Linked DNA regions of Callithrix jacchus. The protein of the gene in region 1 interacts with the protein of each later gene in a pairwise test. Links are inferred from orthologs where the notes say so. Each region holds a gene or a part of one and is shown in the gene's direction. Other genes may lie near its edges.

Region 1 (3,752 bases):
TTAATCTGACAGAATATAAAGTGAACACCTTAGCTATATTTAATTGTCCCAGTTGGGTGGACACTCCTCGACACCCTGTTCGGCTCCACACACTGTAGGAACTCGAGTTCACAGAGAATCTGGGAGGGCTCGCGCACAGCTGTCATCACAGCAGCAGAGGTCGCTGTCATGACAGCAGCAGGCCACTGTCAATACAGGTCGCCTGATCGATCGTCTGACCAAACCAGGCTGACCTGAGGGCAGTATATAAGCTCTGGCCATGAAGCATTGACTCCGCGGGATTGCGCAGGGCAGTCACGGGCGTCTACGCCATTTTCCGTTCGTTGAGCTGAGGGCCTTTACCCCAACTCCCCCGCACAGAGCAATACGAGCCCTCCAAATATCAAACTCTAAATGTATTAAAATAACAAAATACCTCGCCGCTATTTTATCACCAGACCCTCCTCCCAGCGGGGAACGCAGAGTACGCAGAAAGGCAAGGCAGGCCAAGGCGACAGTGAAGGCGCGGAAGGATGAGCACGGGCCAGCCGGGCATGAGGTAAGGTAGGAAGACTACCTATACCGCGAGCGCGCAAGCGCATCAGCGACCGCAGAGCCCAGTGGTCTCTTTCTAGTAATTTCGCTAACCGTGACGTCATCTCTGCGCGCCGTTACAGTGCTTAACTACAAACTGTGATTTAGTTTTTGGTGAAGGGAGTGGAAAAAAAAAAATGAACTGACCTACCCCGCCCCATTTTGGTTTCAGTCCTTCACGCTGGCTTCGCCTACACTTTGGGCAATGGAGCGGGAAAGGAAAACGCACGTAGGCTGAGCTCAAAGCGGTGCCAGACGGGGATGACTCGGCGACGCCGCCAGACGCGTTACCCGGCGTGCTCCGCGCGGGGCCGGTGGAGGGACGTGGGGGAAGGGGCAGGGAGGAGGAAGCGGTGGCTGCTGCGGATGTGGATGTGAGCGAGCGACGCCTGAACACACCGCGGCTGCCTAGCGCCTGACCCGGGCCTGCGCCAGAGCCTGCACTGAGCTCTGAGGCCCCACACCCGTTAGGGTGGCCCTGCGCCCGTTGCTACTGAGGCGAGGTGCTCTGCATTCTTCGCTGCCCAGGCCTGCCGGCTCCTCCTCGCTCACCCGCTCCCTCCTGCTCGCCTGAGTCACCGCCGCCGCCACCACCGCCGCCGCCATGGCCGAGAGTGGTGAAAGCGGCGGCCCTCCTGGCTCCCAGGATAGCGCCGCCGGAGCCGAAGGTGCCGGCGCCTCCGCGGCCGCTGCCTCTGCGGAGCCCAAAATTATGAAAGTCACCGTGAAGACTCCGAAGGAGAAGGAGGAATTTGCTGTGCCCGAGAATAGCTCCGTCCAGCAGGTGAGGCCGTCTGGGGCTCGGGCCGGGGTGGGGGTGGCGGCAGGACCTCGGCCTGCAGCCTCTGGAGACCTTTTGGAAGGGTATGGGGAGACCCTCCGAGGTGCCCTCGGCCATTCTCCCGGGCGTCGTCCCAAATAAGATCACACCCCAAGTTCGTGGGTTTGCGCCTTGGGACACCGCAGTGGTTTGTGGCGTTGCCGCGCGGCCTGTTTGTGGGACCGGCCGACGCTGCTTTTCTCGGAGCCTTCCTCCTCTAGCATCCGTCGCCCCTCAGCTTCCTCCCCCAGTTCTCCCTCAGTCGCCTCCCCTCCAACTCTTCACAAAGGAAAGGGACCCACCGCCTGGTTCCGGGCGGGGTGGAGGCTGGGCGGGGGCGAGGGTTCCCTTAGCTCAAGCTGCGATTTTGTTTAATGAATTATTTAAAAAGGGTGGATAGGATCCTCATTGTTTTACCTGCCTGTTTGTTAAGGTAGGTTTTGGGGTGAGGTGCACGTATACATTTAGTTCTGCATTTTAACTCCTGAAATCTTTCCCACCTTGAAAGCTTTCTTAAAAAAAAAAAAAAATTATGACGTAGAAATCGTTTTTAGCTCCTTGTTAATAGTAATAGTACTAGGTTTAAGGAGAAATATGAATGAATGATGATGACTTGCTCTTTCCCTTTTAGTATGTTTGTCGTTTCTTAGATGCCAATCATTCGGTAGGTATTTGTTTGATTTTAGAGGGGCGAGAGCAATGTTGATATTAGCGGTTGCAACCAAATAAAAGAAAATTGGAGTTAATGGAGAATGGTACTTAAGCTTTGTTCAGGAATACAAATCTTGCTGTTAATTAAGAATCTTGGTGGAATTTAACAAATAATTTTAGTGTATTGTTGAATATGTCGTATTTTCCATAATTATTGACTTAATCGCTGAAGATCTCAATGTGAACAGTTTGTGACAGGAAATAAACAGTTCCGAAAACGTACCTATAAGTTTCCTCAGGAATAGTAAGTGATTGGGGTGTTGGTTTAGCGAATTCCAAAGGTAGTGTGTTTTGTGAGGCAGTGAGGTGTGTAACATCAAATAACAGAAACTTTTACCACCATCTGAATTATCACCTTTTTTTTTTTTTTTGTCTCCCAATGCTTGTGAAAATTTTCCTTACCATTTTTGTATTTTCAAACATACAGAAAAGTTGAAAGAATTTGGCAGTGGACACACATGGCCATCATCTACAGTTAGCATTTTACTGTATTGTAATTAGTTATAAGTCCATTTTATTTTGGGGAAGCAATTCAGAGTAAGTTGCATGTATCAGTAGATGACAACAGTACATGTCACTTCAGCGATGTGAACTTACTTGCTCATATTCAACTTCATTTTTTACGTTTGTGACCTAATTTTGATATGCAATGAAATGCATATGGTTGTAATTCCATGAGTTTTCACAAATGCTTACACCTGTGTAACCCAAGCCCCATCAAGATATAGAACATTGTAATTGACTAGAAAGTTTTTTCTTGCCTTTTCCCAGTCGTTTTAGTAGCTTTACCTTCCATCAACCACCTCGCCTTTTTTTTTTTTTTTTTTTTGGTGCTGTAAATTAGAGGAGTCTATAGTACTGTGTGTATTTTTCTGGGTAAGGTGTTTTTTTTTTTTTTCCCCACTCTGCATAATGTGTCTGAGTTTCGTGTTCGTATATCAGTAGTTCCTTTTTATTGCTATGTAGTTTTCCACTGTATGTATATACCATAATTAATCTATTCACTGTTGAGGGTCACATGAGGTGTTTCCAGTTAGTTACTACGGACAGTCTTATACAAGTTTTTTGTGGACTTACTCTTTTATCTTTCATGGTTATATACTTAGATTTGGTTTGAGTAGGTCATAGGGCAATTGTGTGTTTTAATTTTCTGAGAAAGTATGTTTTTAAAAACGCTTGTGGGCCTGGCTCGGTGGCTCATGCCTGTAATCCCAGCACTTTGGGAGGCCGAGGTGGGTGGATTGCCTGTGGTCAGGAGTTTGAGACTAGCCTTGGCCAACATGGTGAAATTCTGCCTCTACTAAAAATACAAAAATTAGCTGGTTGTGGTGATGGGTGCATGTAATCGCAGCTACTCTGAAGGCTGAGGCAGGAGAATCATCGCTTGAACCTAGGAGGTGGAAATTGCAGTGAGCCAAGATCAGGCCCAGCGTGGGCAACAGAGTGAAACTCCATCTCAAAAAAAAACAACAACCCAGCACTTTGGGAGGCCGAGGCGGGTGGATCACGAGAGATCGAGACCATCCTGGTCAACATGGTGAAACCCCGTCTCTACTAAAAATACAAAAAATTAGCTGGGCACGGTGGCGCATGCCTGTAATCCCAGTTACCCAGGAAGCTGAGGCAAGAGAATTGCCTGAACCCAGGA
Region 2 (3,652 bases), on another chromosome or scaffold:
ACTTTGCTGTCTTAGGAGGTACCTTAGTTTGTATCAGATGTGGCTTTGGAGGGTGCTCTTTAAGCACTGCTAATTATGGGTGGGTTCTTTTCAGAAGGAAGAACTGAAAGAGGTATGAAACTTCTGAGAAAATGAGCTGTCTTCTCTTACCAGCATCTGCAGCCATCAAAATGTTGTAGGCTTTAGTTGTCTGCCAGTGCCCAAGCTGAGCTGTCTCCTTCATGGTTAGGATTTATTGTTTAGAAAAAACAGCAACATTCTGTTTATAACTCAGAGCATTTGTGTTTTCTGCTGAAGCTAAAATACTCATTTATTCTTTCCTAGAGGAGAAAAGAAAAAGAGAACAATTAAAAACAAGAAAAGCAAAATTAGATATTCTAAATTTCTTAAGCATTTTTCACAAAGAGACTAGGCAATTTTTTTCCTTAAAGAAAATCACCTTTTTTTTTTTTTTTTTTTTGAGACACCAGGATCCCTGTCACCCTGGCTGGAATGCAGTGATGTGATCACAGCTCACTGCAGCCTCACCCGCCCAGGCTAAATAAAGCCATCCTCCCACCTCAGCCTTCTAAGTAGCAGCTGGGAACATAGGTGCATACCACCATGCCTGGCTAGTTTTTTATTTTTTTTGTAGGCGGGGGGGGGGCGGTCTCACCATGTTGCTCAGGCTGGTCTTGAACTCTTGAACTCCTGGGCTCAAGCAGTCCTCTTGCTTCAGCCCCCTAAAATGGTGAAGTCCTGAGACACCATGCCTGGCCAAAAATCATTATTAATTAAAAATGCCAGAGAAGCCTTTTATCTAGACTTTGATGTTTTCTACACTGCAACTATCTCTTGGGAAATGGGAAAAGGGAGAGGGAGGACCTTTGTTATTGTCTCTCTGGTGATATAATTGGGAAACTAAGGCTGGGCATGGTAAAGACCCAGTCTTTACAAATAAAAACAAATTGGAAAACCGAATTGCCAAGTGATTCTGTGGCTTGGTAGAAGGCTGCAGGTGAGACTGCTGCGTTCCTCCTGACTTGTAACGTTGTGTCCTTTTCACTAGACAGCCTCTGGAGAGCCTATGTTGCTACTTGTCATGTTTCTTAGGATCAGCTGTCAAGGACAGATGTAGTTGCTGATCAGCCTGGCTTCTGTATTAAGTAGTCGGTAATTTTGTAGCTATTGATGAGAGTTCTGAGGCACTTAGTTTTTTTGCCCTGACCTGGTGGTTCAAAGGTGTGGGGGCGGGTACCAGGGAGGAGGGGCTGTGTGAAAGTCAGAGCTGCTCTTTTCCCTGGTTTTATCCAGTCTGAGTCTCCCAAGGAGATATTTGGGAGGAGGAGGCGAGTGTGGCTGGATCTAAATATATCTCTTCCCAGCCATTTTGAAAACTGTTTTACCAACTTGTGCTTTTTCCGAAACAGTTTTTTCTCTTTGTTACCAAATTATGCAGGTAGAGGTAGACATTTCTGGGCAGCCTCGCCTAATGGTGTTAGTGGGGGCGGTGTCATCACTTATCTTTCTTTCTTTCAGACCGGAACATGAACATTTTGCAGTACTGCCCCTCTTCTGACATCTGGACCCTCTTTGAAACTTGTGACGTCCACATTCGCAAGCAGCAGATGGTGTCTGTGGAGGAGACCATCTATATCGTGGGGGGGTGTCTCCACGAGCTGGGGCCCAACCGCAGGAGCAGCCAGAGTGAGGACATGCTCACCGTGCAGTCCTACAACACCGTCACCCGGCAGTGGCTCTACCTCAAGGAGAACACGTCCAAATCGGGTCTTAACTTGACTTGTGCACTCCATAACGATGGCATCTACATCATGAGCAGAGACGTCACCCTGTCGACCAGCTTGGAACACCGAGTGTTCCTCAAGTACAACATCTTTTCAGATAGTTGGGAAGCATTTCGGCGTTTTCCAGCTTTTGGACATAACTTGCTGGTGTCTTCTCTTTATCTGCCCAATAAAGCAGAAACATGACTGAATTGAATTCGTAGATGAAAGAAACTGGTTCAAGATTTTTTTTAAAAACGTAGTGTCCCATTGCAAGGGAGACTGATTCCTAAAGGGTAAAGAAGGGTTAAAATAGGTCACATATATACAGTAGCAGCTGTAAATAAGCTTACTTGAACTAATTACTTGAAAACTTGTGGAAAAAAGAGACCAACTTTGTTATTTTTAAAATTATTGATTTTTAAATTATGGGAGCAAATCTATCTCCAGACATGATACTCTTGGGCCAATGACGGATCATCAAAATATAGATTCATTGTGACTGCATGGTAAAGGGCCAAAGTCAATAATTGGAACAAATGGTAAAGATGATTTTTAAAATCTGTTGTATTTAGGTCCCTTTACATATCATTAGCACCTTATGTGAGAGATTTTCTTTTTCTTGCCAGTATACTTGACAAGCATTCGTATTAACATATTCATTCCCTCTTCTCCGTCAAGCATACCCACACATACATCTAGTATGTTTAAAATAGGGTTCTGTGTTCAGATATTTTGTTTGCACTCTACTTCTTAGGAAACTTACAATGATGGAGCCCTACAATGAATCCTTGCTAGTGTTCAGTCCTCCTCAAAACTTGCATAAAAACATTCTCAGCCATTTTTCCAGCCTTCTTTGCAGGTACAAATGCTGGATTAATAGATTGATACAACCTCTTATTTTATTTATGTGGCAGATTACATATTTATGTGGCCACATAGGTTGCATTGCTAGGTGTTCTGTATTTTAAAGAGGATATATTATTTAGAAAAATGAATATATGAATATTTTAAAAAATTGAGTCTTAAATTTAAATGGGAAGGGAAGAAAACACCAAATAAGACATAAATTTGCCTTTGAGAGTTACTTTTATTGAATGTATTTGACTTAGTTCTTATTTCAAGACTTAAAAAAAGTTTACCATATTTAAGTCAGGCAACTAATTTAATCTTAGCTTTGTAATTAATGTTTTGCTTTTGTGGACTAAGGTAAGGACAGCATTTAAACATAGGTGCTGGAGTAAGGAAGAAGCCCTTACAGAAGTGGAATGGCTTCTGGTAGTATTTTTGAAGTTAGGTAAAGTGCTTTACTTGCCTTGGTTGTGAATTGAAATAGAATGCAGCTCAAGCAGTTGTTTTCACTGAGGGAGTTAACAATAAAAGTTTCTGCCAATCAGATCAGCATTCTTCAAAAATATATATACTCATACTTACAGAACTTTTATTTTGAGTGAAAAACGCTCTAAAATTATCTGATATTTTGTAATCCAATCAGTTCAACTGTGAGCTGGATTCCATCATTCTGCAATAACAGCAGGCAGAACCATTTCAGTTAGTGTGTGCCTCACTTTAAGAAAATCCTGTTGGGGGAAAATCACTGTCAGCAAATTCATGCATTCCGCAAACACTTATTGAGTGCCTGCAATATGCCGTCCACTATGCAGATGTAGGACGGGGCTAATTACTTAGAGTTTTTCAGTTTATTCTAGGAGTCACTACAGGGTTTCTTTACAACCATGGCCTCTAGTATACTTAAAATAAGGGTCCACTTATAAAAAGCCTCTTTGCACAACTTTTTGGGAATACTTCTATTAAGTTAAATGAGGTAAGCCATTATTTTGGACATAGAAACAGATCTTTGTATCTTGTCACCAAATAATCTTATCTCT
Region 3 (3,652 bases), on another chromosome or scaffold:
TTCTGTCGAATGAGTAATAAGCATTTTATAAGTTTTATGTGTTTCACATAGTTTAAGACTTTTTGAAAACCAACTTAAACCTCTGTACTAGGTAAACTGTGGTTTACCTGCCAAGTACAGATCATTGATTCAAGTACTTGTGTTACTTTCCTGGGCTGCCAAAACAGATCACTTCAAACTAAGTGGCTGAAAATAATAGAAACGTATTGTCTCGTGACTCTGGAGGCCAACGGTTTGAAATCAAGGTGTAGGCTCAATTGTACTCCCTCTGGAGGCCCTAGCGGGGAATCCATTCCTTGTGTCTTTCAGCTTCTCATGACTGGCAGCATTCCTTGGCTTGGGCCAGAGTCATTTCAACCTGGCCTCACAATCCTGGCCCTGGCCTCTTCTGTCTCACATTTCACCCTCCCTTTCTCTTAGAAGGATGCTTGTCATTGGGTTTAGAGTCCACCTGGATAATCCAGGATGATCTCTTCATCTCAAGATTCTTAATTTCATTATAACTACAAAGATCCTTTTTCCAAATAAGAAAACATTCACAGGCTACAGGGCTTAGGATGTGGACACATTTTTTAAAGGGGCTGCCATTCAACTCACCACAATAATGAACTCCATAGTTCCACCTATTCAGTATTTTGTAGTTACTTCTCAATTTAACTTGCCTTATTGCTTTAGGTATTTACATATGAAATCACTTTGGTCTGTGCTTTCTTTAACAGCGAACCTGCTTTTTTCTGTAATAAGTTTTCTGACTTTCCCATAATCTTAGTTTCTTATTTGCAGATTTACCTTCACATATCCTTTAACAGAGCATTTGATTAACTTCTATTTTCAGAACCGGTCTGTATTCCATGTAATAATCAACTTATTCATATTTTGGTATTCTTTTAATTCTTAACTGATTCTGAAATTATGTCTTATGATTTTATATATATAATATATATGTATATGATATATATTTAGGTATACATATGTGTATATGATATATGTATATGATATATATATAGAAATAACAAATATTTATAAATTAAAGGTAATATAACTTCTAAGCTAAGACTATTATGTGTAACATGGTGAATATACTGGTATTTGGTTTGTTTACCACTGAAAAGCCCTATCTGTAGGATAGGAAGTGACTTGAATATGGAATGCTTTGATACTCAGAATAAGAGGCTATGTGTGTATCCTTGAGCTGGAGTTTAAGGAAAACTTACGGGAAATTAAAAGGAAAGTTGGAGGACTGGCAAAGGAGTGGGTAGGACTCATGAAAAAGGAATGAAATTAGCTTAAATTCTGTCATCATGAGTTGAAGTGAAACTAGATTTATGTTAGTTTATAGCCTAGAATTCTATCCTCGGGATCTAGATATATCCTAAATGTTGAGATAGCTGCATAAACAATAACTGTAATATTTATGATAAATAATGAAAAATCTTTTTAGCATGTTTCATGAAGCTGTTAGAAGTTAAAAGAATGTCTTCAAATGTTAGAATTCTTTTTTCTTTGCTGCTTTTTTTTTAAAAAATTCTTTTCCCCCTTTTTATGAAATACGCTGAAGACTGATCATTGAAATTTGTAGGCTAAAAAATTATCAACACAGAGTAGTTTGGGGTTTGGGTTTTTTGAGTCATGGTCTTCTTCTGTCACCCAGACTGTAGGGCAGTGACACCATCATGGCTCATTGCAGGCTTGAAAGCCTGTGTTCAAGTGATCCTCCCGAGCTGTTGGCATGCCATTATTTCTAGCTAAATTTTAAAAGTTTTTGTAGAGATGGGGTCTTGCTATGTTGCCCTGGCTGGTCTTGAATTCCTGGACTCAGGTGATCCTTCTGCCTTGACCTGTAAGTGCTGGACTTACGGATGTGAGCCACCATGCCCTGCCTCTAATTAATATTATAATTACCAATTTATCTTGTTTAAATTAGTTGGTAACACTTGGAGTTTACTTCAAAATATATTTTACATTAAATGACTCTGACTGCTAATCTCCCCTTCCCAAAATGCTAGTGTAATATAACAATAAAATGCACAGTCTTAAGATAAACAGGTTTTCAGTTGACCTGCTTTATAAAATAGTTTGAAAAACACAAGAAAGAAGATAAAGAATTTAAGATTTTGACATTTCTATAATACGCTCTTAACTTGTCTAAGGATTCATACTTTTTTTTGAAGCAGAGTCTCACATCGTTGCCCAAACTGGAGTGTAGTGGTGCAATTCCCACTCACTGTAACCTCTGTGTCTGGGCTCAAGTGGTCCTCCCACTTCAGCCTGACTTCACCTCCCTATAGGTGCCCAGCACCATGCTGAGCTAATTCTTGTTTTTTGTTTTTTTTTTTTCTTTTTGGTAGAGATAAGATTTTTCCATGTTGCCCAGGCTGGTTTCAAGCTCCTGGGCTCAAGTGATCTGTCCTTGATTCACCATACCTTGATGTTCAGCCGATTCATACTCTTAACTGAAACATTGTTCCACGTTCCTCAGAAACAGTCAAGGCTTTTCATCTAGAGACCATTTATAACTGGATCTTTCTCTTTGTAGCACTGCTTATCAAACTAGTCCTAACTTCCTGATGAGTTAAATTTGTATTCTGAATCTGGCTGTAAAAGGAGCCCTTCATCAGAATGAAACATGCTTATTTAGAAGTGGAGAGGGGACCTTGCAAGTGATCTAGTCTACTACTCCCCTTTATGACACGTCTGTATTCTTTCTGCATTTCTGCTGTAGCGTTGCCCAGCGTCTTCTCTAATATCTGTAGTCCTAATGAGAATACGAATTGTAGCTTGCATCCTTAATTTTACTCTTCTCTGCTTACTCATCATTCAGTGAAGACCTTAAATAGATCTTAAATTACTTCCTTCACTTTAGCCGAGAGTAATAGGACTGTGTAGGTTTGGGTGTGCCTCTGTATTTGCTTGTTTAAGCAGAATAATAAAAACTTTTACTATAGGAAATTAAACATTTCCCAGTCAAATACAGTTCCAGTCTAACACAATTAAATTCTGGTTAGAGAGTGGGTTAACTCACTAGGCGTATAGGAACATCCTAGAGAAATGCAATTAGAACTCTTACTTTTACACTTTATAAAGATGAACCTCTGTGAACAAACCAGTTATTTCAGGTTGCATTTGTGTATAGGTTTTTAATGCCTTATTTTTCTATTTTAAAATCACAGATACAATATATACATGCAATTATATACAGATGCAATTATAAATATACATACAAAATAAAGCCACAATATTTTGAGAAAGTTAAAGTTTCCTTTACTCCTGCACTGCATACACCTTTCCCAGGTATGTACCAGTTTGATGTGTAAGTTTAGATTTCTTCCAAGAGCATTTAAGTAAGTGTTTGAGTTGTGGTAAGATTCTTTAGTTAAATGAACTTCTTAGATGAGTTTTTTTTTTAGTGCAGAAGCATGAAATACACCCGTGTAACTGGGGATACCTCTGTGCCATTACGATGGAAGGTAAGGAAAAACAGCACTCCACATATACCTAGTTTACTTTCCCTTTTTGGTAAATTTGTGTAATTTTGTGGAGCTGACACTTCTTAAGTGGAATCAGAAGTTAATTTTTCCTTGACTCTTTTCTCATTTTGTTATGGTTTCTTTCCCTAGAGGTTGGTATTAGTAGTTGGACAACTCAGTACTAA

Evidence for each region.
Region 2: the proteins of UBQLN1 (region 1) and KLHL42 interact in binary tests that used the Homo sapiens proteins (3 or more experiments, as listed by UniProt). The two-hybrid records come from large-scale screens. The link is inferred for Callithrix jacchus from reciprocal best matches to the Homo sapiens genes UBQLN1 and KLHL42.
Region 3: the proteins of UBQLN1 (region 1) and AGPAT5 interact in binary tests that used the Homo sapiens proteins (3 or more experiments, as listed by UniProt). The two-hybrid records come from large-scale screens. The link is inferred for Callithrix jacchus from reciprocal best matches to the Homo sapiens genes UBQLN1 and AGPAT5.

What each region holds. Positions count from the first base shown.
Region 1 is NC_133502.1:99,308,415-99,312,166, forward strand, and holds the start of UBQLN1 (ubiquilin-1), read left to right. Parts: upstream 1-1,063; 5' UTR 1,064-1,125; coding exon of another isoform or gene 1,126-1,177; coding exon 1,178-1,357; intron 1,358-3,752. Other genes in the region: uncharacterized protein LOC103792470, read right to left, coding at 725-1,063, 1,126-1,179. UniProt on the Homo sapiens protein: Plays an important role in the regulation of different protein degradation mechanisms and pathways including ubiquitin-proteasome system (UPS), autophagy and endoplasmic reticulum-associated protein degradation (ERAD) pathway.
Region 2 is NC_133510.1:43,423,101-43,426,752, reverse strand, and holds part of KLHL42 (kelch-like protein 42), read left to right. Parts: intron 1-1,518; coding exon 1,519-1,970; 3' UTR 1,971-3,652. UniProt on the Homo sapiens protein: Substrate-specific adapter of a BCR (BTB-CUL3-RBX1) E3 ubiquitin-protein ligase complex required for mitotic progression and cytokinesis. The BCR(KLHL42) E3 ubiquitin ligase complex mediates the ubiquitination and subsequent degradation of KATNA1.
Region 3 is NC_133514.1:9,548,016-9,551,667, forward strand, and holds part of AGPAT5 (1-acyl-sn-glycerol-3-phosphate acyltransferase epsilon), read left to right. Parts: intron 1-3,170; coding exon 3,171-3,291; intron 3,292-3,407; coding exon 3,408-3,467; intron 3,468-3,652. UniProt on the Homo sapiens protein: Converts 1-acyl-sn-glycerol-3-phosphate (lysophosphatidic acid or LPA) into 1,2-diacyl-sn-glycerol-3-phosphate (phosphatidic acid or PA) by incorporating an acyl moiety at the sn-2 position of the glycerol backbone.